7 linked regions of the Danio rerio genome follow. The protein of the gene in region 1 interacts with the protein of each later gene in a pairwise test. Links are inferred from orthologs where the notes say so. Each region holds a gene or a part of one and is shown in the gene's direction. Other genes may lie near its edges.

What was found.
Region 2: the proteins of cep70 (region 1) and sytl5 interact in binary tests that used the Homo sapiens proteins (3 or more experiments, as listed by UniProt). The two-hybrid records come from large-scale screens. The link is inferred for Danio rerio from reciprocal best matches to the Homo sapiens genes CEP70 and SYTL5.
Region 3: the proteins of cep70 (region 1) and nkapd1 interact in binary tests that used the Homo sapiens proteins (3 or more experiments, as listed by UniProt). The two-hybrid records come from large-scale screens. The link is inferred for Danio rerio from reciprocal best matches to the Homo sapiens genes CEP70 and NKAPD1.
Region 4: the proteins of cep70 (region 1) and znf366 interact in binary tests that used the Homo sapiens proteins (3 or more experiments, as listed by UniProt). The link is inferred for Danio rerio from reciprocal best matches to the Homo sapiens genes CEP70 and ZNF366.
Region 5: the proteins of cep70 (region 1) and sh2d4a interact in binary tests that used the Homo sapiens proteins (3 or more experiments, as listed by UniProt). The link is inferred for Danio rerio from reciprocal best matches to the Homo sapiens genes CEP70 and SH2D4A.
Region 6: the proteins of cep70 (region 1) and ddx6 interact in a two-hybrid assay, tested with the Homo sapiens proteins (2 studies listed by BioGRID and IntAct). The two-hybrid records come from large-scale screens. The link is inferred for Danio rerio from reciprocal best matches to the Homo sapiens genes CEP70 and DDX6.
Region 7: the proteins of cep70 (region 1) and enkd1 interact in binary tests that used the Homo sapiens proteins (3 or more experiments, as listed by UniProt). The link is inferred for Danio rerio from reciprocal best matches to the Homo sapiens genes CEP70 and ENKD1.

Annotation. Positions count from the first base shown.
Region 1 is NC_133197.1:12,294,958-12,298,371, reverse strand, and holds the end of cep70 (centrosomal protein of 70 kDa), read left to right. Parts: intron 1-1,673; coding exon 1,674-1,753; exon of another isoform or gene 1,754-1,887; coding exon 1,888-1,940; 3' UTR 1,941-2,109; coding exon of another isoform or gene 2,110-2,310; 3' UTR 2,311-2,546; downstream 2,547-3,414. Other genes in the region: mmadhca (metabolism of cobalamin associated Da), read right to left, coding at 2,110-2,310, 3,342-3,414.
Region 2 is NC_133184.1:31,997,074-32,001,068, reverse strand, and holds part of sytl5 (synaptotagmin-like protein 5), read left to right. Parts: intron 1-2,576; coding exon 2,577-2,722; 3' UTR 2,723-3,995. UniProt on the Homo sapiens protein: May act as Rab effector protein and play a role in vesicle trafficking. Binds phospholipids.
Region 3 is NC_133190.1:24,174,677-24,179,401, forward strand, and holds the start of nkapd1 (uncharacterized protein NKAPD1), read left to right. Parts: upstream 1-1,858; 5' UTR 1,859-1,942; exon of another isoform or gene 1,943-2,240; coding exon of another isoform or gene 2,241-2,343; intron 2,344-2,578; coding exon of another isoform or gene 2,579-2,628; coding exon 2,629-2,697; intron 2,698-2,771; coding exon 2,772-2,848; intron 2,849-2,933; coding exon 2,934-3,089; intron 3,090-3,441; coding exon 3,442-3,495; intron 3,496-4,725.
Region 4 is NC_133183.1:1,328,626-1,333,085, reverse strand, and holds the start of znf366 (zinc finger protein 366), read left to right. Parts: upstream 1-1,491; 5' UTR 1,492-1,524; intron 1,525-4,460. UniProt on the Homo sapiens protein: Has transcriptional repression activity. Acts as a corepressor of ESR1; the function seems to involve CTBP1 and histone deacetylases.
Region 5 is NC_133185.1:7,484,084-7,488,535, reverse strand, and holds the start of sh2d4a (SH2 domain-containing protein 4A), read left to right. Parts: upstream 1-1,581; 5' UTR 1,582-1,684; intron 1,685-1,859; exon of another isoform or gene 1,860-1,936; intron 1,937-2,062; 5' UTR 2,063-2,129; intron 2,130-3,689; 5' UTR 3,690-3,788; coding exon 3,789-3,963; intron 3,964-4,452. UniProt on the Homo sapiens protein: Inhibits estrogen-induced cell proliferation by competing with PLCG for binding to ESR1, blocking the effect of estrogen on PLCG and repressing estrogen-induced proliferation. May play a role in T-cell development and function.
Region 6 is NC_133193.1:46,828,424-46,832,418, reverse strand, and holds part of ddx6 (probable ATP-dependent RNA helicase DDX6), read left to right. Parts: intron 1-677; coding exon 678-806; intron 807-894; coding exon 895-1,011; intron 1,012-1,176; coding exon 1,177-1,240; intron 1,241-1,359; coding exon 1,360-1,461; intron 1,462-3,520; coding exon 3,521-3,696; 3' UTR 3,697-3,705; intron 3,706-3,799; 3' UTR 3,800-3,995.
Region 7 is NC_133183.1:3,674,381-3,678,375, forward strand, and holds part of enkd1 (enkurin domain-containing protein 1), read left to right. Parts: intron 1-1,856; coding exon 1,857-1,988; intron 1,989-2,148; coding exon 2,149-2,291; intron 2,292-3,995. UniProt on the Homo sapiens protein: Microtubule-binding protein which regulates microtubule organization and stability. Promotes the stability of astral microtubules and facilitates the proper orientation of the mitotic spindle.

The DNA of each region.
Region 1 (3,414 bases):
TTAACACATGATCCGGTTGAACAGAAAAACAGCAAATTAAAGTAAACATATTAAAATAATCATAACCATTTTTATAATAATCACCAGTTATTTGCTCTTCTGCTTTTGTGTGGGCTTTCTTGGCCTTTGCTACACGGTGAGCTACACAGTAAGATAAGCGGAGTGCCTGTACTTATTTTGAACATGAAGATGTTCGGCACTTTTGTGATTCCCTCAGCCATTGGAGTCGTCTTTGGAAATAGTTCACAGGTTTGTCCTTGCAACTAGGATGTTTGGTTTCTAAATGTCATTTTAATTTAGAAGGTTTCATGCTCTCTTGTGAGATCACCTCACTACAAATAACGCACTGAGGCTTTAAGCCTTTTTTGTCGTCAATATATGTAAATCCACACTTTACATATTCAGGGTTGTACTTGCGCTTTGACATTGTTGCCATAATTAAATGAAATTTCGCATGTCAAACAGTACAGTTGTCGCACGCGCATTTCAAAATAAAAGTCTGATATAAGCAAAATAAGTTAAATTAAACTTTTTTTTTTTATCACACACTCTGCAACCCACCAGTTGAAAAACACTGATCTATGTGACAAAAAGTTGAGTTTTTCTATGTGTTTGTATCACGCATATATATATAAAATACACATTATGTCAAAACAAAACTTTATTTTGGATGTGATTAATCTTTGCCTAGCACTAGTTAATTTACAGATATATATAATTATGAAAAATATGATTCTTTATCATACTATTTTTATTATATATATATTGTTCCTAAATAGAGGTTTTCTCTCTCTCTCTCTCTCTCTCTCTATATATATATATATATATACACTTAAAATATACAAATTTTGTTATATATATATATATATATATATATATATATATATATATATATATATATATATATATATAATTTCTATTTTCTAATGTTTTGTTGCTTTACTTTATGCATTTAATGTTTAAAATAATTGCTAAAAATGTTTTACATTTGATGTCAGAATAAAAAAAAAAAGCCAATATTGTTTACTGCTAATGAAGGACCCTATATAATACTGTATTCATTTTTCATACTACAGTATTAAAGTTGAGAACATGACAGTTTTCGAATACATAGTATGTTAATGAACTGTAATATAAAATGGGCAACACTTTAAAAATAATAGTGCACTAGTGAAAGTTGTGCTTGTTAACATTAGTTAATGACTATGAGTAAACATGAACTACTGTTATTTGGGTTAAATTACATAAACTATTAGTAATGGATTTATTTGGGTATTTATGTTGGTATTTTACCAGTTACTATATATTAACCTTAAATGATAAAATGTGCCAACTTGTATAAACTGATGAAATATTTCTATAGAATAGATTGCATTTTGCTGTGGTGTAATTGACCCAGATGTTGAATTTGCTGTAAAAATGGTTGTTGCTTTTGAAGATTAAAGTAATTAAGTTATGTTTTTGTAAGCAATTACACATCATGAAATAAAATATTACATTAAGATTCAAAAGAAACAGCCATTTTACATAAAGTGACAGCTATTTCAACATCAGGGTCAAAAACACTACAGCAATGTAATCTATGGAAGTGCACTTGCTTCTGAATCTGAATCTGAATGAATTCACCCTCATCTTTTGGCAAAACATAACCGTGTTGTTGTTGTTTTTGACAGCATCATCCTGAAGCTGAAGGAACATGAGGAGTTTTTCCCCGCTTTCCACTCGTTCATGCTGGAGCTTCTGCAAACTCTGGGTGAGAAATAAACTTTATTCATTCAAAACATCAGACCACATACAAAATGAGCTGAATTGATCACAGTGCAGACGCATTGTGCGTCTCGAACTGATAAAAATAATAATAAATTCATAAACGTTTCTCTCTTTCAGACGTCCAAACTCTAGACGACGTTTTACCAAGAATCCGTTCTCTCAAAGGCTGATGTTTGTAAAGCACCGTGTGGTTTTAGACCTGACTATTTATTTAAAAACTACTTGATTCTCAGTGTTTGTATTTTATAAATAAATCTGTGCCGACAGCAGCAGTTTGTCATAAAACCTCTCATATATATTAATAAGAAACAGTCTTTTTTTTTTTTTAAAGATGTGTGTTCAGTCTCCGTCCTCTGTGTGTCCTTGAAGTTTCTCCATGATCAGACTGTTTGAAGGTGCGTTAGTGATTAACGTGAGCACAAATGTGCCCTTTAAAACATGTCGTATGACCGTACAGGATGCCAGATCCTCGATGTGAAAGCCAGCGTGATGCTGAACGTCCTGCTGGAGAATTGAGTCCGGCGTCTGAACTGCGAAAAACTGCGGGAAAACAAACATTGTAAGCAGTGCTGGGTAAAATGAGCTCAAAAGTAGCTAAATTACTTATCCACTGAAAAAGTAATGGGATTACCTTTTAAAAATGTGAACTTTGTTTTGATACAATTAGCATTTAAGTCCTTTTTGCAGTGATCGTCTATATCACTAAAGAATGGTGTGTGTGTTTTGTTTTATTAAAATGCTTAAGTATTACATTTTTAATAAAGCTAAAGACCATGTTTGACTTGTAGTTGACTCATTATTTTTCAGTAATTAGAAGTTAAGTTGTAAGCTAAATAAATGATAAGACTGTTTCTCAACCATGTTCCTGGGGAACCACCAGTGCTGCCCATTTAGTTACCTTAACCAAACACCTGATTTAGATCGTCAGCACATTAGCAGAGTCTGAAAGGCGTGTGATGAGTGTGACAAAGGAGACATCCAAAACATCCAGTGCTGGTGATCCTCCAGGAACATGGTTGAGAAACACTGCTGTAGATAATGCTTTGATTTGCAATCAGGTTGATGAAAACATCCTAATACTGGGTGTAAACAGGGCTGAAGTGAACACATGGTGTTTTATTTAGTGTCTTCATGATCAGATTGACAGCATGTTTTAGTATGTGGTGTAAATGGGTTGAAAGTGGACAAATCTAAAGCAAGTCATATTCTGTTCACTCCTGTATTTAGTGTGGCTCAGATTTACAAAAAGAGATCAAAATATCTAATGTAAACATGGACAAAAATAATGTAGTTTACAATTTGGTTGTTGTCAATCTAATCAGGCAGACGACACTAAACATGCTTGCTAATACTAGGTCTGAACAGGGAAAAATTGAAAAATCTAAACAATTTACACAGATATTTATTGGTACAAAAATCTAACTCGATGTGTTTTAGATTGTACCTGCAATTTTCCAAAAACACATTCACTATCCAGTGTGAACTCAAAATGATTCTTATGTTGTGTACACGTATTTAGCATCGTCCAGGACCACAGAAATGAATATTGCGTGAGGCAATGTTGTACTTACAGCTTTTCCTGACAGTGGATTGATGAAATCGGCCCAGTATCCTCCTCTCCACAGTGTGAAGCAGATTTCTTTA
Region 2 (3,995 bases), on another chromosome or scaffold:
ATTTTCTGTATTTAAAGTGTGTGAAATCAATACTGAAATGCAGTTTTGTACTTTATATGGAAGTTGCTATTTCAGTATTATGCTTATGCTGTTATAGTAGATAATATGCTAAAAATGTCAGTTAACAAATCATAATATTATCACGTTTTAGTATTTTACATTTCTTTTAGTTGATGATAACTATCAATATTTGTTTGTTAGGGATTGTAATCTTTTAAATGATAAATAACAATCTATTACCTTCCATATACTAAAGACAAGCAAATATATTTTTTGAATATGTGAATAATAAGAAACAACACTAATTTCGATGCAGTATTACCCACACATTTATTATTAAATTATTAATTAAATTATTAATTTAAAAGTTAATTAATTAATTTAATCATGCAAAAACACGAAAAAAGTATTTATCAGCTCCAAAAGCCAAACACCAAAATATTTTGACAAATTTCATGTTAAATTATTTTTAAAACTTTAGTTTAGTTTAGTTTATAAATTTAGTACAGTTTGAATATGCTTTTTTGTGCTTATTTTTTATTTATTTTGCAAACATATTTCAGATTTTAAATTTGTATGTTTTTGATTTAATATTTCATTTTTATTTCACCTATGTTACAGTTCCTCAATTATAAAAACTTAAATATTAATTAATATAACAACACTTAAAAGTAAGTCATACGAAAATGTTTAAATACTTTAATTAAAAATAATAACAAAAAAACTTTTGAGGAGAAAGAGGGAACTTTATTTACTAAAGTCTACCAAAGTCCATTTCATCCACTTCTTTGCCATAATTTGACTTCCCCTCTGGATATATATTTCCCACATTAATATGCCAGAATTGTCCAGCTTTGATTTGCTGTGAAATGTTCTGTGACTCACATGAATAGAATCATTTGGTCCCAAATGTGTTTGAATCAAATTTCCCCTCTAATGATCTTACTAAACGTCTGCTTAATCTGTCATCAATGATGCATGAAGCATTACTGCGTGCAACACATTCTGTATTCATGCTAAACTAATTTCAAGATGTTTTATTCATATCTTCACTCGCTCATGATCAAGTGGTTTGTTCCTCATGGATGACGATGTTTTAAAATGTTTATAATTAGCAATGGTTTCCATTTCCATTTACCTTCTATCTGTTTCTTTTTGTACTGTACCATTAAGATTTCTTAATATAGTTGACCTCTATTAGGACTTTTAACCTCTTCTTGCGTGAAAAAAAAACTTCTACTAAACTGCAAGACATTTTAAAAGTGGACAGTGATATGTGCGTTTAGTGATAATTCAGACATAACAGTACTATTGCAAGCTGTATTATTTGCCTTCATATATGATCTGAGGAGAATAAGGAGAATTATTTTAAAACAGGGAAACTTGGCTATTTATATAGAAATTTACTGCATGTGTGTATACAATTCTTCTTCTTTCCTTTAAGAATATATATATAGCCAGTTGAAATTTTGGCTGCATTTAATTGTTCAAAAATATTATAAATTTGTCATATTGAATTTTAATTACCATTTTATGTAATTTATTTATATTTTTATTGTTGTTTTTTTCCTCTGATTCTTGTTATTACCAGTGTTGAATTTCTTTCTTTCAAATTTTTGTAGAAATATATAAAATGTATTAATCATTTTCAGGATGCGATCAATGGAAAATTAAAAATAATACAATTTCTTTGAAGTACAAGCAATGTATGGAGTATTAATGTTTTTACTGCTACTATGGAAGAATGTTATATGTTCTTTATGGATAAGTAACTATTTAAAAGAAGATGAAAGCTTACATTGTGAAGAAGCACAACTGTTATATTATACAGGGTGACTCAAAAAGAATACCACAGCTTTGAAAACTGACAACTCTGCAAAGAAGAAAAGGAGAGTTAAGCTCTTTCTGTCCAATGGAATATTGACAGTTGCAAATTCAGCTTTAAATCACAGCAATAAAAAAGGCATTTTATTTCATTCTAAATTTATGTAATATTTCACAACAAAACTGTTTTTATTGTATTTATCAAATACTTTCACACTGATAATAATCAAAAATGTTGACCCCCAAATCAACATATGTGCAAATGATTTCTGGAGAATCATGTGATGCTGACAACGGGATTGATGATAATGAAAATCCAGCTTTGCTATCACATAAATTAATCACATTTTAAAATGTATTATAAAAGAAAACTTTTATTTTAAATTATTAGTTCACATTTTTACTGTTTTGATCAAGTAATAGGAGACTTGGTGAGTTTAACACACACAAACACAAACATACCAGCCAATAAATCATTCACTCTTGTACTAAATGTGTTTTGAAAGCCATTACTTCCAAATAAAACCAACATTTCGTGCATATTTAGTTTTTTGAAGACAAAACGTTTCAATTGTAAAAATGTTTCATGGCCTTTTTGCTATCAATGACAAAAATTGTCTCTTTGCTATCAAAAATTGTGTCACCCAGGTAGCTAATATATGACAGAATTTCTTTCACCATCTGTTGAATTTCCTCCACCATGCGTGTCTGAGAGTGAAGCAGCTCTGCTTTGACCTGTTTGTGGCCTGCAGGTCTGAGTTATGGGAAGGAAGTGGACTGGAACGATGCCTACGGGGAGGAGCAGCGGCTCTGGCAGCGCATGATTGACAACCCTGAGGTTCCTCAAGAGTGCACACTGATGCTGAGATCCAGCATGGCCAGGAGGAAGACGGACTGACAGAAGAAAAGAGTATCCCCGGCAATACTCATCATTCAGCATCTCATCGCCTCTAGACACTTTTAAGTGCTCTTTACGTTCTTGAGCAGTACTCGGACAAACCAGATTCTCATTTCAACGGTACTCATGCACTTCAAATGATCAAAACACATCTGTGGAACATATTAAGGGCCTCTGAGGTCCTGTTTACACCTGGCATTGAGATCCATCTGTTGGTCAACAAAAGGAGTTTTTCTACACACAGGATTATCACATTTGTTAGTGGACTAGTAAGTGTGTATTAAGCATAAAAACAAGATTACATTTGTAATGCAAGCACAAACATAAAGTTTTAGGCAGCATTCATAATTATTTATTTGTATTAAAATACAAAATGATGATTCTGTCATCATTTATTTACCCTCTAAATGGGATAGTTTACCCCAAAATGAAAACTACCTCATCATTTACTTGACCTCATGTGCTTTCAGACCTAATTGAGTTTCTTTCTTTTGTTGGATGCCAAAGAAGATGTTTTGAAAAATGCTTGTTGAGGAAACCCACTGACCTCTGTTGTAAGAAATATATACTATGGAGGTCAATAAGTCCAATCAACCAGGATTATTTAAAAAAGCTTCTTTTGTGTTCAACAGGGGCCGGTTGCACCAGCAGTGCACAAGTTAAAACATAGCCCAGTTGTGACTTAATAGGGCACTAAGTTACAACTTACACATTACTAAATATTTTAGTGTTGCACCACCGAACTTAGGTTAAGCTTAACACTACGTTCTAACTAAATACTTACGGCGGCATCTTGCATGTATAACAGTACAAAAGAGATGACACAAGATTACTATTAGTTTACATAGAGCTCACAATCATAATGAACAATGCTCTCCCTCTATTCACAGCCTAATTTTTCTCCCAAATCTTGCATTTTTTTCGGTTTGTGAAAGAAGACTTTAATTTTCTATCAAGTACCATCATAAGATCCTCGAGCCTGGGACTCCCTCCTGTTTGCAAGGCGAGAAAGGAGTTTGAGCTTTTTACTTATTAGGAGCATGTCTATGTCTATAAAACGTCTATTTGGATTGGGCAGTTGACTTAAGTTGCATGTTTTTGGACGGTGGGAGGAAACCGGGGAACCCAGGGGAAACCCAGGTGAGCTTGGGGAGAACGTGTAAACTCTGCACAGAAACGTTGGCTGGCTTTGTAAGAACTAGAACCAGTGACGTTCCTGATGTGAGGCAACTGTGCCAACCACTGGGCCACCGTGCCACCCATCTGTGAAAGG
Region 3 (4,725 bases), on another chromosome or scaffold:
TTAAAAAAAATAAAATAACTTGCCTAATTACCATAACCTGCCTTGTTAACCTAATTAAGCCTTTAAATGTCACTTTAATTTGCATGAAGTATCTTGAAAAATATCTAGTAAAATATTATTTACTGTCATCATGGCAAAGATAAAATAAATCAGTTATTAGAAATGAGTTATTAAAACAATTATGTTTAGAAATGTGTTGAAAAATATATTCTCTCCCTTAAACAGAAATAGGGGGAACAAACAGGGGGCCTAATAATTCTGACTTCAACTGTATATCATTATCGTTCAATTTGGAAAATAGTTAATTTTGATTGCATTTTTGCCACATCCCCCAGCCCTATACCTTCATGTATGTTTTATTAAAAAGCTACAAATTTTAAGTTAGAGTATTTTCCATACATTAAATGCTGATTAACAATTTAAAGCTTATTGGTATAAGCAATCTTTCATTTTGACAACCATTTTGACAAATGCAAATTACATTTACGGTTACAAAGTACAAATTATATGGATTGCAAGAGTAGATTTGTGTAATATTGGAATTGGGGTTGAAAATTATTTTTATAAAAACTGATGGTCTGTTTTAAGATGCAACCCAAGGCAATAAAAGAAAAAAATAATCAAAGAGTATAATGGTAATATGGTATAATATATAGGGACAGTAGAAGGGTTGTGAAGGGTTGACTTTTCTGGCCCTAAAATAATCATAAGCCTTATCCCTGAGCCCCAGTGACCAAATGTTGCAAGATATTATTGTGTCTCCTGTCATTGTCATTTCCACAACACCCTATTATTTCTATTACCATTTTTTAAATATATTTTATTATTTCTCATCACATATTAAAAAATATCCACAATTGATATTATTACACAATTCTATTTAATATAAAAAATTTATTTATTTATTTATTTATTTATTTATTTATTTTCTAATGAGTTTTTACCTAAACTAATATTACATTTCAGAATGTGACAATAATTCAGCATTTGGTCACTGGGGAAGTAAATTTAATTTATTGACAAAATGTATGTTGAGGGCAGTGCGGTGGGGCAGTGGGTAGCGCTGTTGACAGTAAAAAGGTCTCTGGTTCAAGCCTCGGCTGGGTCAGTTTCTGTTTGGAGATTGTTCTCCCCGTGTTTGCGTGAGTTTCCTCCAAGTCCTCCGGCTTCCTCCACAGTCGCTATAGGTGAATTAGGTGAGCCAAAAGTGTCCATGTGTGTGAATAGGTGTGTATGGGTGTCTTCCAGTGAAGGGTTGCAGCTGGAAGAGCATCCTTTGCGTAAAAACATATGCTGGATAAGTTGGTGGTTCATTCTGCTGTGGCGACCCCAGATTAATAAATGGACTAAGCTGAAAAGAAAATGAATAAATGAATGAATGAATAAATATTGTACACTGACTGTAAAAATACTGTAAAATTAGTTATAAAATTGATCAGTTCTTGAGTGGTATTGACTGAGTTATTCAATTGTTAAATAACCGCTGTGTTTTGAGATGTGATGGAAATGACATATGTTCAAATAGTTGGAATTAATGTGAAATATTAACAATTTCTCTTGTAATCTAAGTTTTTCCTCTTACAGATCTTAAGCCTAGACATATTAACTAAACTTATGAGACTGTAGGTGACTTTTGAACAAGTTTTTTTTAATAAACGTCAGTGGCCCTAGTTGAAGAAAAGCCTGTGTTTGAGTGCGCTAGTGTGTAAAATTATGGGCCTATTCTGAATTTTATACAAAATGTTTGTTTTCAGACAAGTTTTCTTAAAAACATTCCTTGATTAATCTGATAAATAGTCCTTTTATTGTGAAATACGTTTTGAGACTTTTATTTTAAAGTAACCTGCGGATGTAGTGCAGGAAGTTGATACGTTCTGTTTGTTGTTTTGGTGCCACGTTCACGTCTCTCACTACATTTAAAAATATATTGAATAAGCGAAAGGTCAGTTCTCACGTTACTCCTTTTAAAAAACACCATTTTGCTTGGTCGTTACAATTTTAGGGCTAACTTAAACGTTTAACGAAATGAATCTTTCGAGCTAAGGGTTCTTGGCCAGCAGGAAAACGTTAGAGGAAGTGATGCTAATGTCAGTAAAGCTCCTAACAGTTATATTTATTGGACAAAGCATGCAAAGACTAATGTTTATTTTAGTACACTATCTTTGGGTTTTGTATTGGTAAATTAACCAATAAGATCAGCCTGTGTTTGTTTGGATTCACAGGCACTGCTGCTTATTGAAATGCTTGAACAGAATACACACACACACAGACACACACACACAGATATATATATATATATATATATATATATATATATATATATATATATATATATATATATTTGTACTATATATAGAAAAAAGGAAGTGTGTTTGTGTGTGTGTGTGTGTGTGTGTATACATATATATATATATATATATATATATATATATATATATATATATATATATATATGTATATATATATGTATATATATATATATATATATATATATATATATATATATATATATATGTATATATATATATATATATATATATATGTATGTATGTATATTCTGTACAAGTATTTCAATAAGCTGTGCCTTACATACACTTCGTGTTTAAACCCTTTTTCCTAGGTGTATCCATGTCAAAGGTGTCTTTAGGTAAACTTCTACTCCGAAATGTCATCAGACACACAGATGCACATAACAAGGTATGTGACAATTTAAACACAATATTTCATAATTATGTAATCTGAAAGTCATCTGATTCAACTTAAAACTGCAGATTCAAGAGGAGTCTGAGATGTGGAAGTTGAGGGATCTTGAACGACATACCTCGTCCACTCATTTCCCAAAGCACAGGTGGATCACATGCGGCTCAACATTTCTTTTATTTGTGCTCACGGTGTGTGTTTCTCAGTAGTTGTAATGTGTAATGGTCATTTAGGGGCAGCATGCATTGTGACCGCTATTTGGACGACTCAGAAGGGTCAACGAGAGACCGGCTGGGTGAGCGGAGAGACGATGTATCTGAGAGAGATGAGAGGGAGGCACGATACTGGACACGCAAACTGTATGAGTTTGAAGCCAATGATCCTGACAGGTAGTGCTGGTTGGTGTTGTGCTCGTCATGTTTGAACTGTTTTGTACACTGTAAAACCCAATAAGTTAAGGTAACTCAAACCATTTGAGAAATCCGATTGCAACAATCCATTTAAGTACAAAAACTAATCCTAATGAGTACTGTGAACTTAATCCACTTGAGTAAACGCCGCAATTTCAGCGCAGTAAAACCCAATAAATTAAGTGAACTCAAACCGACTGAGTACTGTAAAAGCCAATAGATTAAGGCAGCTCAAACTGCTTGAGGAAACTACAAACCATTCGAGTTAAACTAATCTATTTGAGTACTGTGAACATTGTAACAAAAGGCATAACATGTTGTGTTCTCTCAGGTGGGGCCACAGTGGCTTTAAGGAGCTTTATCCAGAAGAATTTCATACAGACAGGTAAGAAGAAGCTCTTCTTCCACCCTTGAGTGAATGTTTAGCATATTGTTGTAGGTTTTGAGCAAGGTTGGAGAAAGTATGTGGTATTTAACAGCGAAATTGAACATTTATAGATTGAGGGAAAGTTGCCTTTTTATTTGCACATTTTTCAGTGATAGCTAGACATGGGATGATAACCGTTTTCAAGGTATACCATGGTTTGGAAAAGTCAATGTTTTAAACCTGCCAACATTTTCTGCTACAATTTTAAGAATTAAAAAAAAAATATATATATTTATTTATTTTATTTTTTTATGTTTTGTTGTAATTTTTAGGACAAAAGTTTCCAGCAGAAAAGATCTCCAAAATCTCCTAACCCTTTTCAAGTTGTAAAGAAATCTGTGTTTTCGAAACTATGAATGAACAATGAACAAATGAAGGCATCAGAAGTCAATGATTCGTTTGAATTGTTTAACCTGACATGTTTATTGCTCAAAAATATTGTAAATCACAGTAATCACAATACAGAGAAACCGTGATATTTTTATCCAAGTTTATCACACCATTAGAATCTTATACCAGCCCATACCTAGAGACAGCTTGTGACAAGCTATCTATATTATTAAAAAAACTTTTTTCTGTTGGATATCACATGCAAATGTGACTTCAAAACAACATTAGTATTGTTTATTTGACTGTAAACAATGTTGTACTTTGATAGTCATTGGCTGCTAATATGATTTCACTGTTTAGAATTTGTAAAGAATACTTGTTTGAAATTATATTATTAAGGAGAAAGTCAGAATGTGCGAATATAAAACCAACTGTACTTCAACCATTTATAGATGTTTGCATTAACAATTCCTAACTATAACAAAGTTTCACCCCATCAGATGATTCTTCAGCTTCACTTGAAGTTTAAAATGTATTGTTTCCTTGTACCAATATCTATGTACATTTTAACTGCTATACAGTGTAACCATCATTACCAATCTTGTTAATAGACAGGTTCCTGTTATAAAATCACATTTTATTCTTAAAATAAACTATTAAAGAGAATATATTTTATTTATACATTGTGTAATTTTAATTCATTTATTTATAAAGTTTAATCCAGAGAAAAAAAACATTGCCACCATCAAATGAAAATGTTTTTAAAAAGTTATAAAACCGTTACTCTAAAGTTGTTACAGAATTTTTATTATTCACCAAATATATATATATATATATATATATATATATATATATATA
Region 4 (4,460 bases), on another chromosome or scaffold:
AACATCGCGACGCATACGCTTTCATTGCGTCTAATGAGGAAACACGCAAAACTTGGAGGGCTCATGCTGAAAGGCAGAGTAATGCCCTGTCTTTGACAGCTCGCGACTTCACCAGAGACTTTCTGAGTACATTCACATACGACACCAATACTCCGATTTTAATATGATTAAGATTATACTCTTATGAAAATTCTACCGTGTAGCCTAAGCAGGGCCGGCGCATCCATAGAGGCGACCTAGGCGGCCGCCTAGAGCGGCAGTATAGAGAGGGCGGCATCCGCGACACCTCCCTTACCACCTGCGTCCTCAGTTATGTCCGCGACACCTCCCCCCTCAGATATATTCGCGCATAGACGACAGAATAGAGAAGCCGGCGTAAGCGACACCTCCATCAGCACCTGCATGTCCTCATTTATATCCGCGCATAGGGCGGCAGAATTGAGAGCGCAGTGTCTGCGACACCTCCCTCACTCCCTCCCTCAGCACCCGCGCGTCCTCAGTTATATCTGTGCATAGTGCGCTGGAATAGAGGGCCGCGACACCTCACTTCATTTTCATTACCGGTCACTTTCGTTTTCACATTGGGGTTGAGGGCGGCGTGATCGTCCTCTGCCTAGAGCGGCAGTTCAGCTTGCTCCGGCCCTGAGCCTAAGCAGCGATTTTATTTCCTTAAAGAAACACCGAGTCACGAAATGCGGTGGATTTTCTTTCTGTCGCCAAGTCGAAAGTTAAAAATGAAACACCCGAAATTGCATGAAACTCTGGATAACCTGTGATGCAACTAATTGTTTTATACTGGAACTTGCCTTCAAAAAGTGCTTCCTTGGTCTTATCCACATTTCTTGCATGTTAAACTCACGTCCACCACAACAGGAAGTAAAAAAAAAACCCTGGAACTGCGTTAAAGGCGTAAATTTTTTTAACACGTTAATTATTTAAAATTAATTGCACTAATTTTGACAGCGCTAATATATACACATATTGTTTAGAAAAACTCACTTAATTTTGACTCTTTATTTCTGAAAACAAGGCAATATTTTTTACTTGTCCAGAAAATGCCTCTTGATTTAAGAATTTGTTGATATTTTGAACTAGATAAAACACAAGAAAACAATTTAGTCCACGTCTGTAATTATTTACACACATTTTCATAAGTAAATAAACAGATTTAGAGTTGATTTCAGATTTCTGCACGCGCTCAGATTCCATCTGGGCCTAGTTATGAGTAAAGGTCAAAGGTCATCATCAGAAATCATACGTTCAGTGTCTGATCTGGTCTCTCCAGCGTCAGCTTCAGTGTTTCGAAGAGGAATGGAGATGTGTATCTAGTGTTTCCTTATTTTGGGTCAGGAAAGCACAGGCTTGTTGACTTCCTCTCCCTCCCTTCCTTCCTTCTCTGCGAAGGTACTCATCTGAAAAATGAGAACAAAGTGATTGTTCCTGTTCTCTTTCTTAAGTCACTTCAAATGCGGAGTGTGAAGCTGGAGGCGCGTAGAGAGAGGAGAGACGAGCAGGAGACGACAGGTAAGACACACACACACACACACACACATGCACACTGCAATTACCAATGCACACATGCAAATCTGCATATGATCTGCTCAGAGCATTACATATCACATGCAAAGACAGTTATATGACTTCAAAATGTGAACAGTTCTCATATGAAATTTGAATTCTTTTAAAAAATGTTGTATATAAATATATTTAAAATAAATTGATTGGAGATAAATTTAATTTAATGGTTGTTTGATGGAGAGATTTTGCCAACATATGGATTACTAATTGATTTCTTACTAATTTCTTTTGTTTTCATCATGATGACAGCACAATATTTGACTAGATATTCTTCAAGATTCTAGTATTAAGATTTAAAGAGACATTTAAAGGCTTAACTAGGTTAATTATGTTCATTAGGGTAGTTATTGTGCAACAGTGGTTTGTTCTGCAGACAAGCAAAGTATATATTACTAAAGAGGGTTACAATTATTTCCCTAAAATTATATTAAAATCATCTAACTGCTTTTATTTCAGCCGAACTAAAAGAAAGCACACTTTCTCCAGAGGAAAACACTATATTATAGGAAATATTGTGAACATTTGCTTGGTCTGTTAACCCTTTGACTGCCTCTCTACCAAGCAGCTGAGCGTGTTCTGGCTGTTTTAATTAATTTCAGTAATGGCTGTTTTAAATAATGACACACACAGCATTGTTGGTTTACACACAAAAAAATCAAACAAACATAGTCCTGTTGCACCACTACACTCGATTTTGGTTTTATTGTGAAAGAAGAAGCAAGAAAACATGTTCATTGAGAATCTGAAATATTTTATGGCATACTTTAAGAGGATTTAGTACTCACAAATGTTTTATTTTGAACATTATATCATATTGCACTTTATATTTTATGATTTTTCATATATATTAAGTACTATAAACTGGCATATCTACCATTAGGTAGAGGCTGATATTTTAGAAATTATGGGATGTGCATTGAGTGTGTTAACTACAACATTAGGAGTTAAGAAATGCAATCCAAACATTTTTTTTATTTCAAACATCATTTAAACTGAATAACAATCTTACAGGAGGGCGAATAATTCTGCCTTCAGCTGTTCATGCATCCAAACATTGCTTGGCTTTACATGAAATCTGCATCTTTTATCAATGCAAACATGACGTGATGTGCAAACCGCATAGTGATTTACGAGCATGTGAATTACCTGTTCAATGCTGGTGTTTCTGTCAGATGAGTTAGTTTTCTCTGTTCCAAACTGGAATTTTTTTTATGGCCATAATATATATACAGTGGAGGGCAAAAGGATTTTTCTCAAGCGATATTTACCAGGGCGTCACGGTGGCGCAGTGGGTAGCACAATCGCCTCACAGCAAGAAGGTCGCTGGTTCGAGCCTCGGCTGGGTCAGTTGGTGTTTCTGTGTGGAGTTTGCATGTTCTGCCTGTGTTGGTGTGGGTTTCCTCCGGGTGCTCCGGATTTCACCACATGCGCTATAGGGGAATTGATGAGCTAAATTGGCCATAGTGTATAAGTGTGAATGAGTGTGTATGGGTGTTTCCCAGTGTTGGGTTGCGGCTGGAAGGGCATCCACTGCGTAAAACACATGCTGGATAAGTTGGCGGTTTATGGGACTAAGCCGAAAAGAAAATGAATTAATGATATTAACTGGATTAAGGAAATTTTCGTAGTATTATTTGTTTCGTCTCTTTGGTAAACAGCAGTTTTAAGGACTTTTTAAAGCGCCGTTAATTATAATATCAAGCACCTCTGTAACTCATACCCCAGCATACGCAGTGCCATGAAGGTCCTTACTAGTAATTTAGACTCTTCTTAGTCATTTTTAAACACTGTGCCAATTTAAAGTCATGTTGAAAGAACTTTAATAAAACATGTAGTATTCAATGCGGTTTCTGAAATATTTATCAAATGCGCATTATTTGTTAGTGTTGTTGTACAAGATTTAAATGTATAATGTAACATTTAAATGTTGCCTTACAACAAGAAGGTCGCTGGTTTGATTTCCGGCTGGGTCAGTTGGTGTTTCTGTGTGGAGTTTGCATGTTCTCCCCGTGTTGTTGTGGGTTTCCTCCGGGTGCTCCAGTTTCCCCCACAGTCCAAACACATGCGCTATAGGGGAATTGGGTGAACTAAATTGGCCGTAGTGTGTGTGTGTGTGTGTGAAATAGTGTGTATGGGTGTGTCCCATTGATGGGTTGCAGCTGGAAGGACATTCACTGTGTAAAACATATGCTGGATAAGTTGGTGGTTCATTCTGCAGTGGCAATACCTGATTAGTAAAGTGACTACGCCGAAAAGAAAATAAATGAATGCTAATTAATTAACCTTTAAATGAAATTATTAATGATTAATTTTACTTTTTTTAATTCTGTTTTTGACAGCAGCACAGTATAATTGTTCAAATAACACCAAAAACCTATTTTATTTCAATTGTAATTCTGCCAAATTAAAAAACCTGTGTTTGTTTTTGCGTTTGTTACATGCCTTGAATCCGTACATTTGGAATTCAAGTACATTCAAAAAGTGTGGGGACCCTGATTTTTAAAAAGCATTTTATGGTCAATATTATTAACCCCCTTCAGCAATATTAGTGTTGGATTGTCTCCAGAACAAACCACTGTTATACAATGACTTGCCTAATTACCCTAACTTTACCCTAATTACCCTAGTGAAGCCTTTACATGCCACTTTAAGCTGTATAGAAGTGTCTTGAAGAATATCCAGTCTAACATTATTTGCTGTCATCATGACAAAGAGAAAATAAATCAGTTATTAGAGATGAGTTATTAACACTAGCATGATTAGAAATGTGTCCCTGCGTTAATTAAAAATTAAGTTATTTAAAAAATTAAACAGGATGGCTAATAATTCTTACTTTAACTATATATACATTTTTTGTGTATATTATGGCCAGAAAAAAACTC
Region 5 (4,452 bases), on another chromosome or scaffold:
CAACTTTACCTCTATTATGTCGATATACTTCCTTTGTGATTGACTGTGCCATCGATAGAGTTTCCAAATATTTTCAGAAAGAAAAATCTATCCCCTATAATGTACCAAATAAGTTCAATTGGACAAAGAATCGCTATCCACACCTCACCACTCCTACATCAATGTCAAAACTACTTAACCTGTATTGAGTATATGAAAATATTTTATATGGTTTTTATATTTCAATATTTTTATATATTATATCTTTATATTTAAATAAATAAGTTAAATAATAAATAATTCCATTGACTTAAGTTCAGCTTCTAAATAAATAATGATTGTATCCTCCTCAGACCCAAAGAATGTTCATTCATTCATTCATTTTTTTGTCGGCTCAGTCCCTTTATTAATCCAGGGTCACCACAGCGGAATGAACCGCCAACTTATCCAGCAAGTTTTTCGCAGTGGATGCCCTTCCAGCCGCAACCAATCTCTGGGAAACATCCACACACACACTCATTCACACACACACTTATACACTATGGACAATTTAGTTTAACTAATTCACCTGTACCGCATGTCTTTGGACTGTGGGGAAAACCTACGCGAACGCAGGGAGAACCTGCAAACTCCACACAGAAACGCCAACTGAGCCGAGGCTCAAACCAGCGACCTTCTTGCTGTGAGGCGACAGCACTACCTACTGTGCCACTGCGTCGCCCCAAAGAATGTTTTTTTCTTTTTTTATGTGTGATTTCCTACCTCCTTTGGGTTAAAAAAAATCTACAATTTAGAGTTTTTACATTTTTTACGTTTTGTTTTTATTTTTAATTTTACAGCATGTTCACTGTAGTGGACCACAGGACCATTTTAGTTCAGGCAACAGAAAATTGGATGCTACATGATTCACTGAAACTAAGCAGTTCATAAGAGTTAATTGTTCGAACTATGTGCTGTTTATTTTCATTAATTACGTATATGTTTGTGTCCTTATAATGATTCAGTCCATCTGCCAAGGAAACTGATTTATTAAACACAAAAAATCTCACAATGACAATCTTATTGCACTACACACTGTTAAAATATTACATTACATTATTATTTTTCAGTGGATACAGCATACTGAAACTACATGATTAATATATAAAATGTATGCATAGGCCTCTGAAAGAAAATCAAGAAATTTCAGCCATGTGCGATTTCGGTGGTGGTTTATGACAAGTGCGCCACCTAGTGTGGGTTGTTCGTCACCACTGATATTGCTCAAATCAAGATTTTTAAAATATGCAAATCAGAGGTATTATGAAACTATTTTATCACGCTGTTTATGTACATTAAATTCAACATAAAACAAAACAATGTATGCATGCCAATCTGAAAGGTAACATTAAGATATTGTCAACCCATATGCTATTTCAGTGTTTTTTTATGGACAAGTGCTCTATCTAGTGCGGGTCGTTCGTCACAACTAATCAATATTTGTGTTATTTAATTATGCAATATTGTATTATGAACAGTGCATAATGTATAACGCTCTGTTTATGTACGTTTAATTTAACTTTGAAAAATTGCTTAAAATCACTCAATCTTTAAAATTGTTTCCTATCCGTGTCAGAGGTCATTGAACAACACATTCCACGCTGAGTCTCTGCACTTTTCGCCTTTCACCTGCACTGTGAGGTTTAAAAGAATCTGCTGGACGGATGTAAGCTAAAGCTAGCTACGCTATGTGTAACTAAATATGTATCCAAAATATACCAAAATATACTATATTGCTATAGTAAATGAGTTAGAATTGTGTGGCTGACGGCATTTAAGAGGAACTGCGCGCATGTCTAATAAAGCAAACAAATATAAGAGCGGCACATAAAGCACCTTTCATGCAGCTGAATGTGTCTTTCACACGGAGCCGGAGGAAGAACCAAGTGTAGGAGGGAACTGAGTTTGAGTTTTAAGGGTGTGTTCAACATTACCACTGACTTCACTCGAGAATTACCTTTCTGTACAGGTTTCTCCTAATGTTAGGTGTAGTTCTCAAAGGAATGAAAGGTTATAGTCGGCGTTTTTTTGGGATTGTTTTTAGGTAAGCCACTGAAGTGTTTCTCAAATCCCCATGCGAGTAATGAGTGTGTCAAGACTTGATTAAAGCGGTAAGTTTACCTCTCTCTCTCTCTCTCTCTCTCTCTCTCTCTCTCTCTCTCTCTCTCTCTCTCTCTCTCTCTCTCTCTCTCTCTGCGTGTGTGAGTCATTAGTGCTGGATTTGATCTGGCATTGATTGATTGACTGTTTTGTGTAGCTTCCTGTTGCTTGTTTACATTCTTATATTGTATGTAAAACTTCTGGGTTTGTTCAAATATGATAAATTTGTCTCGAGATTACCAGACATCCGTTTAACAGTTAGACTACACTGTATTCCTATGTTTTTACATTGTGACTTAAGTGTAATTGTGACTTTTGTTTCCAGCATTTCTGAGCTTAAATATCCAAATTTCCCCACAAAAAGGAGTCAGAATTCTGTTTATGCCTTCAGTTATATTTTATCTGACTTTTTACTTGTTCAGTTTTTTACATCTCACAATACTGATTTCTAATTGATATGTATAACAATTCTGTGTTCATCATTTGGTTCCAACAATGGAAATTAAAATGAAGCAGATGTTAAAGCTAATCAATGATTTTTAATGTAGTACATGAGATTCGTCTCATTTTTGTTTTGTTTTCTTATCAAAACCAGAAATATCTTTAAATAATTTTATTAATGTTATTAAAGATTTTAGTGCCTATCAGGTTATAGGATTAATTTCAGTAAAACTAAAGTGATGCCTTTAGGTAGTCTACAAACTAGGGTTGTCGCGATACCATTAATTCATGTTACGATACTATACCAGCTAAAGTATTGTGATACCAAGTAGTATTGTAATGCTGTAATTCATAACTCAAATCTATTAAATAAAGAAAATTGTCAAATATTATATTTTAAAATGTTATAATAGGCCTACTTGAATTGAATTCATAATTCCTTTATTATTAAAAAAAAAATGCCACTTTACCTAAAATGTATTGATTTATTTAGTTTATTTTGTAGATAACTGACCAGCAAAAATACATTAAAATAAAGATACAAAGTATACCAAACGAAATGAGTTGCTAAAAAGCATTTTTTGCAAGAAATTAGGCTAAATGAAGTGGTAAAAAAAATTCTCAACATTTCCTGTTGCTATTTTGTGTTTTTCATCTATTGTTTTTTTTTTTTTTTTTCATCCATTACTTTCCTTCCTTATCTGCAATTGCCTCTCTGGCTCCATCGCTAACTGTATTACAGAAAAAAAAATACTAATGTTTTGCTTCTTACACTTTACATTCCTGAAACTTGCCTACAGCACTTATTCATTGTTGCACTTATAGTTGTGTAAATTGCTTCCTTGTCCTCATTTGTAAATGTAAATGTATTAGTCTTATCAGGTAACAATCCAAAATAATTCAAAATCTTAATCTAGATAAATGCTTAATCCTTATTGGTAGAACCCAAACTAAATCTATCTCCAACTTTTTTCTCTCTCTTTGAGATTTTTTTTTAGCTTTATGTGGTTGAAATGTTTTGTTTATGATGTATTTTTTTCTTTGTTTGTGTAAAGTATCGTAATTTATTTTCTATAACGTTTCGTCTGAGGAAGAACATAAAAGAGTTTGAAATGGTTGTGTTTTTACAGTCCACCTCTCTCAAAGAACAAGAGACACCCCTATTACCCCTCTGCTGACTGAAGATATTTGAGTTCTGTCAAGGTGGTGTTTGTCAGTGACACGGGAAGATGCTGCAGCAGATACTGATCGACATGTACATTGAGCCGGATCTCCTGGCTGAGCTGAACGAGGAACAGAAACAAGTTCTCTTCTTTAAAATGAGAGAAGAACAGATCAGGAGATGGAAAGAAAGAGAGACACAGCTGGAGAAACAGGAAGCCGCACATGCCAAAGCCAAAAAAGGTTTTTATTTCCACAAACATTTTGTCATTAAGATGTGAATAAGCAGTTAAGTTGAGATCTATGCAATGCTGTTTTCTAGCCAAACCTGCAATCATTTGAATTGAAAATACTTTTCTGTTTAAGATCACTGTTTCGTCATATCACACAATAAAGGGACAGTGAAAATAGGGTTGGGCGATGTCGACCAATTTGACATCTTACAGTGTCTAATGTGAAACATCAGGATGAATGATGGGATTGTCGTCGTAGGCTGCGGTGAATTCATTATTTATGAATAATTATTTAATTCATAAAGAATTAATTATTAGTTATTAGCCTACCGTTTCAACTACCTGACCCACATGGTCTTTATTTTACTCATAACCAAATCACAAATAAATAAAATTACACACAAATCACCACCTGTCAATCACTTTTTCCGCAGGACTCTGGCATGAATAGGCTGAGTGATCTGTCTCTGAGGTTTTCGCTAAAATTACTAAGTACAAG
Region 6 (3,995 bases), on another chromosome or scaffold:
GTGCCTAGTGTGCCACGCTTAAGGCTCCTAAACACCAGGACGCTTTTCATTTGCGTTAATCTTCATCGTTTTATGAGACGTTTTCCTGCATTCAAACCCAAGTGATTTTTCACTGGCGTCAAGCAGAAGACTATGCAAAATCACTCCTTGACGTCTGATGGCGCTACACAACTTTAAGCTTCTGACACCCGCTTAAACGGAAGAAGAGGAGGAGAGGAAGTTCACACGCTTGTTAAAGTTACTGGTGACTCGGACAAGCATGGATGGTTTAAGCGGCAGCTCTAGCGATGAAGAAATTATTATTATTCACAAGAGCAGTAAGAAGCTAAACTTTCATATCACCTCTGGGCATCTTCTTTAATGTGCTTCCTATTGACAGTTTTGCGCTTGAGCGCCTCCAAGTGCTGTTTACTGTAACTTCAGCAGCTCCGTGCACATGAGCAAAAGTGCCAATCTGATTGGTAAAGAAGGTTTTGACGCAGCGCTTTCACATCCTGAATAAAAAAAAATAAAATAAAAAAATACTTGTCAATCTGTAATTAAAATAACATGTTGCTTTAGTTTTGTTACACAACACACTTTTTTTTCATTCTTTTGGCCATAAAGAAATGTTGCATGTAATTGTACCATCATTAGATTTCAGAAGTGATTAATGCACCCTTTGTTTTTGTGAACAGAACTCCCATCTCCAGAAGCCCTATGAGATAAACCTGATGGAGGAGCTGACCCTGAAGGGGGTTACTCAGTATTATGCCTATGTGACTGAAAGGCAGAAAGTCCATTGCCTTAATACTCTATTCTCTAGGGTAAAAGCACTTTGCATTCTCATCTGATCCATTACTACTGACCATTTAAGAACAGGCAGATCTGATCTTTTTAATGTTTTCGCTTCAGCTCCAAATCAATCAGTCTATAATCTTCTGCAATTCGTCCCAGCGAGTGGAACTCCTGGCTAAAAAGATCTCACAGCTTGGGTACTCCTGTTTCTACATTCATGCCAAGATGAGGCAGGTGCGTATAAAGAGGGCATGTGGTGTGACTGCACTGCTGTTGGCACAATTCTGAAACGGAGCAAGTGTTTGTGATTTCTGAAATGTGTATGGAATTTCAAATGATTTGGGGCTTTTGTGTCTTGTGATTTTTGCCAACATGTTTCTATTTATTTAAATTTTTTAGGAACACAGAAACCGCGTGTTCCATGATTTCAGAAACGGCTTATGTCGAAATCTCGTCTGCACTGGTAAGGACCATTGAATATCAGTGTTTGCTTAATATCATAGTTATTAAATCATAGTTTAAGCATGCATTTTCTTTGGCTTGTTTGTATGAGTTTTTTTGAATCATGTAAACTTTTATTAGATCTCTTCACGAGAGGAATTGATATTCAAGCTGTGAATGTGGTGATCAACTTCGATTTTCCCAAACTCGGGGAGACGTACCTTCATCGCATTGGCAGATCTGGTGAGTAGGGTTTAGTTTCGATCTCTCCCCCCTAGGTCCTGTTTACTTTCACAAGTAGACGGCAGTAAATGTATTTACAAAAAATACTTTTTTTAATTAAATTTTTTTTTTTTTTTTTAAGAGCGGTAGTCAAACCTGTTTGAGCAGATTGGTTTCTGCAAGTAGATGCTAGATGCATTCTGACTGCTGAGACCTGCGTTTGTTTTTGGCGTATGATTTGGATCATATTTTATATTTAAAGTTTGTGTGCTTCCACCCAGACAGCAATAGTTTTGACATGTTTATTGTTATTGAAAAGTTCTTAAAAAAAAAAAAAAAAAAAACACTCTCAACTGATCATATGCCTTTATGCTCAGATCATAAATATATGATGTTGCCTAAACACTTGAAAGGTAGTTTGCAACCAAAATCTCTACATTAACACCTTTTAATAACCTGCTGAATGCAAACCAATCAGGCTTCAAATGTAGACATTCCACTGAGACTGCACTACTGTCACTGAAGCCCTGCGGATTGCCAAAGCCGGTGCTAAATCCTCTCTTCTGCTTATACTGGACTGGTCTGCTGCTTTTGAAATGATAATGATTCATCAGATTCTGCTGTCCACCCTCTCATCAATGAGCATCGCTGGAATCCCACTCTGCTGGTTGTAGTCTCATCTCATCAGCAGATCATTCAGAGTTACCTGGAGAGGAGAGACATCTAAGGTTCATCAGGTGGTCACTTGAGTACCTCAGGGATCTGTTCTTGGTCCAGTTCCATTTTCTATTTACACCATTACTAGGAACCATCATCCAATCACATGGTTTTCTCATTGCTATGCCAATGAAACCAAGCTCTTACTTTCCTTTCTTCCTGATGACCCAACGATAGCTGCAAGGATCTCGCACTGCCTAGAGGATATCTTGGCTTGGATGAAAGACCATCACCACCAAATTCTTGTCTTCCCTGCCACTCCACACATTCAATAAAAATTTTCAATCCAACTGGAATAATCTGTGGATTAACCTGTGTAATTTAGCAAAGATTCTTGGGGTGATCCTGGATGATTAGCTGCCCTTCAAAGAGTACCTCCTCCTGCTCCTGAAGGCCTGCATCCCCTCCAGGAGCCTTAGGTTAGTGAGTGAGCACTGCCTTGTGGTACCATAGCAGAGAGGCTATAAGTCAATTTTCAAAACCTTTTCATTCACTGTTCCTCACTGGTGTGCTCTTCCCATTCCCACACAGACTGCTGATTCACTACTATTTAAGCAACAACTAGAAATCAATCTCTCAATCTCCTTCGGGAGAGAAGAGGGGGTTCTGTTTTTGTTCACACCTCACCACAAGACATTCTTAAAAATCGTATCAATTCTGAGTGCAACTCTCGCAGGTGAGTGGGCTTAAAAAAACCATGTGTAGAAAACACAAGATTCTCGTTCCCTGGTAATATTTCAATATAACCACTCAAGGCATATGGTCTGTTTGAGGAATGTTTATTTGTTTTTATTTATTGTTGATCCATCTGCCTATGGCAGATATGGGTGCTCAGATTTCACCTTTTAAATATCTTAATTTCCGTTCCACTAATTTTCCATATCGAATATTATCCCAACAGTGACTGAAGCCACAAAAAATAAATTATGGCACATTTTTGGTAGCTGAAGATTCGGTACTTCTCTAATGTCCACTTTTTTTTTTTTTTTTTTTAGATTACTGTTGTTGCACATTTCTGCTTGGCTCTTAGTTTGCTAAAGAGTAAAACTTCCAGATTTTATCATTGTTTATCACAAACTTTATCACAATTCGATATCATTCATCAGCCAAGCCCTAATCTCCGTTGAATACTTTTCTGAAAGTGATGTATAGAGTGAGAAGGTAATTGGTGTCAACCAATCCAAACACAAAATGAAAACGTATCATAAATGACCGCCTGGTTGTATTAATAAACACTAATGTTAATATGAGATGTCAACTGGACCTGAGAACTTAAGTTCACATCTTATATCTTGCTGTTTGACTGGCTAGGTTTTTGAAGAAGAATCTGTGTAAATGATAATTGCCTTTTTGTCCTTCTCAGGCCGATTTGGACACTTGGGTCTTGCCATTAACTTGATCACTTATGATGACCGCTTTAACCTGAAAGGTATTGAAGAACAGCTGGGTACTGAAATCAAGCCCATTCCCAGCAGTATTGACAAGAGTCTATATGTGGCCGAGTACCACAGTGAGAGCGGAGAGGAGGTTAAACTGTGAGCAGGAGAGGTGAGTTCAGAGCTAGGATGAGTCAGCATTTGTCATGCATACATGTTTGATATTAACTTCTTTTTTTTTTTTTCTCCCCCCCCACTCCTTCCAGATCACCAATCCTTTGTCCCCTATCCCACCCTTTTCGTTCCCTACTGTGTCTAGGGAATAGGGGACTTTTTTTTTCTTTTTTTTCCCCCCTCCTTTCAACTATATCTTATTTCTGTCTTCCTCTACTCCCACCTCCCTCTTTTTTTCGTTTTCTTTTTTTCTCTCCTGTCTTGTGCCACCACAAGGAATGTCGTGTC
Region 7 (3,995 bases), on another chromosome or scaffold:
AGGAGCTGAGCTGCATGTTCAGATAGGAAGGGTCGGACCTTTCTGATGTTATAGAGTGCGAATCTGCAAGATCGAGCAGTTCTAGAAATGTGGTCAGAGAAGTTTAGTTGGTCATCAATCGTTACTCCCAGGCTTTTCACCAATTTGGATGCAGTAATGGTTGCCCCATCCCCCCAAATTTAGTGTCCAGCTATAAGAATTTAGGCTTTCTACTCGATCAGGAGCTTTCTTTCAAAGAACACATAGCAAATTTGGTTAGAAAATTGAGAGTTAAGCTCGGATTTTACTATCGAAATGCATCCTGCTTTTCTCTTAAAGCTCGTAAACATTTGGTGTCTGCAACATTTTTACCATTTATTGACTATGGTGATGTTTTATATATGCATGCTTCAAACAAATGTCTTCAGCCTTTAAACTCCATAGTGCGCTAAGGTTTGTTACAGGCTGTCAAAGACTTACTCATCATCGTGAATTGTACGCTAAAGCTGAGTGGCCTTCTCTGTGTGTAAGAAGGTACACCCACTGGATGACTCTGGTCTACAAGGCTCTTCTGGGACTGGTGCCTTCATACCTATGTTCCCTTCTCCATAAGTCTAAAAGAAAGCATGCCCTACGCTCAAGTGAATCTTATAATTTGATTGTTCCCCGGGTTCGAACTGAAATAGGAAAGCGAGCCTTTAGTCATGCCGCCCACTCATCCTAAAATACTCTTCAGTCTGAAGTAAAGATATCTGAGCTCATCCCAATGACATCGTTTCACTCTATTCTTTTTAACAAACAACAACAGTCCATTTCTCAATGCATGTGTTTTTAATATACTGAAATGTGGTAAAGCTGGAAAACTGAACTGTATTTTTATATTATATTAATTTTCTATTTATTATTAATATTATTAAATTTTTTTCTTTTTTTTATATAAATCATGTGATGCAGACCTCTTGGCCAGGTCACCCTTGTAAATGAGATCTTGATCTCAATGGGTTTTTATCTGGTTAAATAAAGAAACATGTATAGGGACTTTATAATGAATTAGAAGTTTAAAGGAGACCTATTATGTAAAACTTACTTTCATAAGAGGTTTAAACACAGTTGTGTGTCAGCAGTGTATGAATATAAGCAGCTTCTAATGGTAAAAATTTATTCATTTTATTGTTTATAATCCCTCTCGATAAAAACAGAAACACTTTGATTGACATTTTCTCTTTGTACATGTCATCAGAGTGGGAAAGCCCCGCCCACTAGTGACCATCTCTTCCTCATTAGCATAGGATATAAGTCTTAAATCTGCCACTATAATGACACACAAGCATTTGCATTTGCACAAGCATTATGTGTGTGTGAGTGTTTTTGTGCATGTGTATGTGTTTAAATGTGTGTGTGTGTGAATGTGTTTTTATATGTGTTTGTTTTTGTATGTGTGTGTGGTGAGGGCACATCTGTGATAATGTTCTTTTGTTTAAGTGTGTGTGTTTGAGTGTGTGTATGTGTGTGTGTGCAAATGTATGATTGACTGTGTTTTTACATGTGATCATGTTTGTTTTTGTGTGTGTGTGTGTGTGTGTGTGTGTGTGTGTGTGTGAGCGCTTTGGGTTTTAGATAAGCGCGTTATAAATAAAATGTATTATTATTATTATTATTATAGTAATACCAGTACAAATTGACTTTGTGGGGACATTTTTGGTCCCTATATGAATAAAACGGCTCATAGATGCAGATTGTTTCCAATGAGGGCTGGTTTAAGGGCAGGAGGAGAGAATATACAGTCTGTACAGTAGAAACATCCTTATGTCTATGAAAATAAGATAGCTGTAAGAGTGTGTGTGTGTGTGTGTGTGTGTGTGTGTTTGTGTGTGCAGGAAACAAGCCCCTTAAAGAAGCCTGAATATCAGAACTTCCTGAAGGCTCATTCAGTGTGTGGAGCCGGGGGTCGACCGGTGCTGCGGCGCTCAGACAGTGGACCGACCGCTGCTGGAGACTCAGACTCTGAGGTCAGAAACACACACACACACACACACACACACACACACACACACACACACACACACACACACTAACTCAGCACACACTTACACTCACAAACACTTCATTCACACTCCTGCAGACAGTGTTGCGTAACAGAGGTCTGTGTGTGTGTTGATGTGTGTCCAGATGCATGTGAGAGGACACACAGTGGACTTTGTGAGTCATAACGCTCGAGCTGCGGCGAAGACCAGCATGAGGAGATCTCAGTCCTTACAGAACCTGCAGGACAAAACACCAGCCTGCGCCGTCAAGGGCAAAGTGCCGCCATAGTGAGTGAAGTTACACAATATTGGAATAACTGACATTACTATACTTTGTTTTTCTCAGATACATGGTTGAAGTCAGTATTATTCGCCCCCCTGTATATTTCATTCACCAATTTCTGTTTTACTGAGAAGATGTTTTCAGCACATTTCTAATTATAATAGTTTTAACTCATTTCTTATAACTGATTTCTTTTGTCTTTGCCATGATGACAGCACATAATACTTGACTTGATATTCTTCAAGATGCTAGTATTCAGCTTAAAGTGACATTTAAAGGCTTAACTAGGTTAATTAGGGTAAAGTTGGGTTAATTAGGCAAGTCAATAGCTGTTTCCATCCAAAAATGCGAATGAACTTTATGTGCAAAACTGGATTATCACATTAAAGTCATGCGAATAAAGCAGCATTACCTTCTAACGAGTCAAAGCAAACAAAACACTTCCTGATTAACTGGCGCCAAGTATCAACAGTAAAAACGGAATTTGCTGCGATAGGAGAAGCTGCATCAATCTGTTCTTTCAAGAGTTCACACTTAGCTGATGATTGATTATAAGCAAGTTTGGCATGCTGTCCCGGGAGAGAGCCCTGAGCTCAAAAGGTCCTTGAGCCCTGGGCTCCCTCCCGTTTGCAGGGCGAGAGGGGAGCCTTGAGCTCAGGTAGATCTCGACAACTCCTTCCTTGATAAGAGCTGATGACTGAAATGAATGCTATGAAGAGAATTGCTGCAGGATGAGAGATTGACTTTAGTGCTAAATTTAGGGTGCTTTCACACCTGCCTTATTTAGTTTGATTGAATCGCACTAGAGTTCGTTTTCCCTTTTGGTGCGGTTCGTTTGGGCAGGTGAGAATGCAGCAATCGTACTCGAGTGCGCACCAAAAGCGGACCAAATAAGCGTACTGAGACCTGCTTGAAGAGGTGTTCTTGGTATGCTTTCAAATGAACCCTGGAGCGGTTCATTTGTGGTGAGAATTTGATTCGTACTAAAACAGGTCCAACCGCAAAAAGTACTGCGCCTTTCGGACTAAGTCAGCTGCCGTAGGCCGATGCGCTGTGCATTATGGGATATAGAGGAAAAATATTTGTTGACAGCGCTTTACCAAGAAAGAGAGAGAGAGGGAAAACATTACCTGATGGATCGTTGGTAATATTTCCGCAAGATGAGCATGTCGCAGTTTAGCTAAATTAATTCACGCCTCCTCCTGAAGTGACGTGCGATGCATTAAAACACTGTTTTCCAGCCGCGGCCGCGCTTCATTCTTAAAATGTATAGTTTGTCTAAAGCAGGGATACAATCAGTCAGCGCAGTCGTCCCTCCATTAAAAAGCTACATTTTGTGTCTGCTGGTTTTGTTTACTTGTGGGAGTTCATTGGCTTTTTCCCGCACATGAATTCTGACCAATCGATACGCAGTTTAGGAAATATGTTCAACAACATCTGGCCAATGAGAAAGTGGATTTTATCAGATGACTGCATTTTGGTTTGTTCCAACTGGTTCGGACCAAAGCCAGCAGCGTGGTGTGAAAACACACAGAAAACGACGGCAGAAAATGCAACAATGTATCATTTATTGCCCTTGGTGCAGACCAAATGAAGCGAACTACAGATGTGCAAGCACCCTTAGATTGATCAATTCACTTGTTGTGCATGTTTTTAGAATGTGGGAGGAAACCGGAGAACCCGGGGAAAATCCACACGAGCACAGGAAG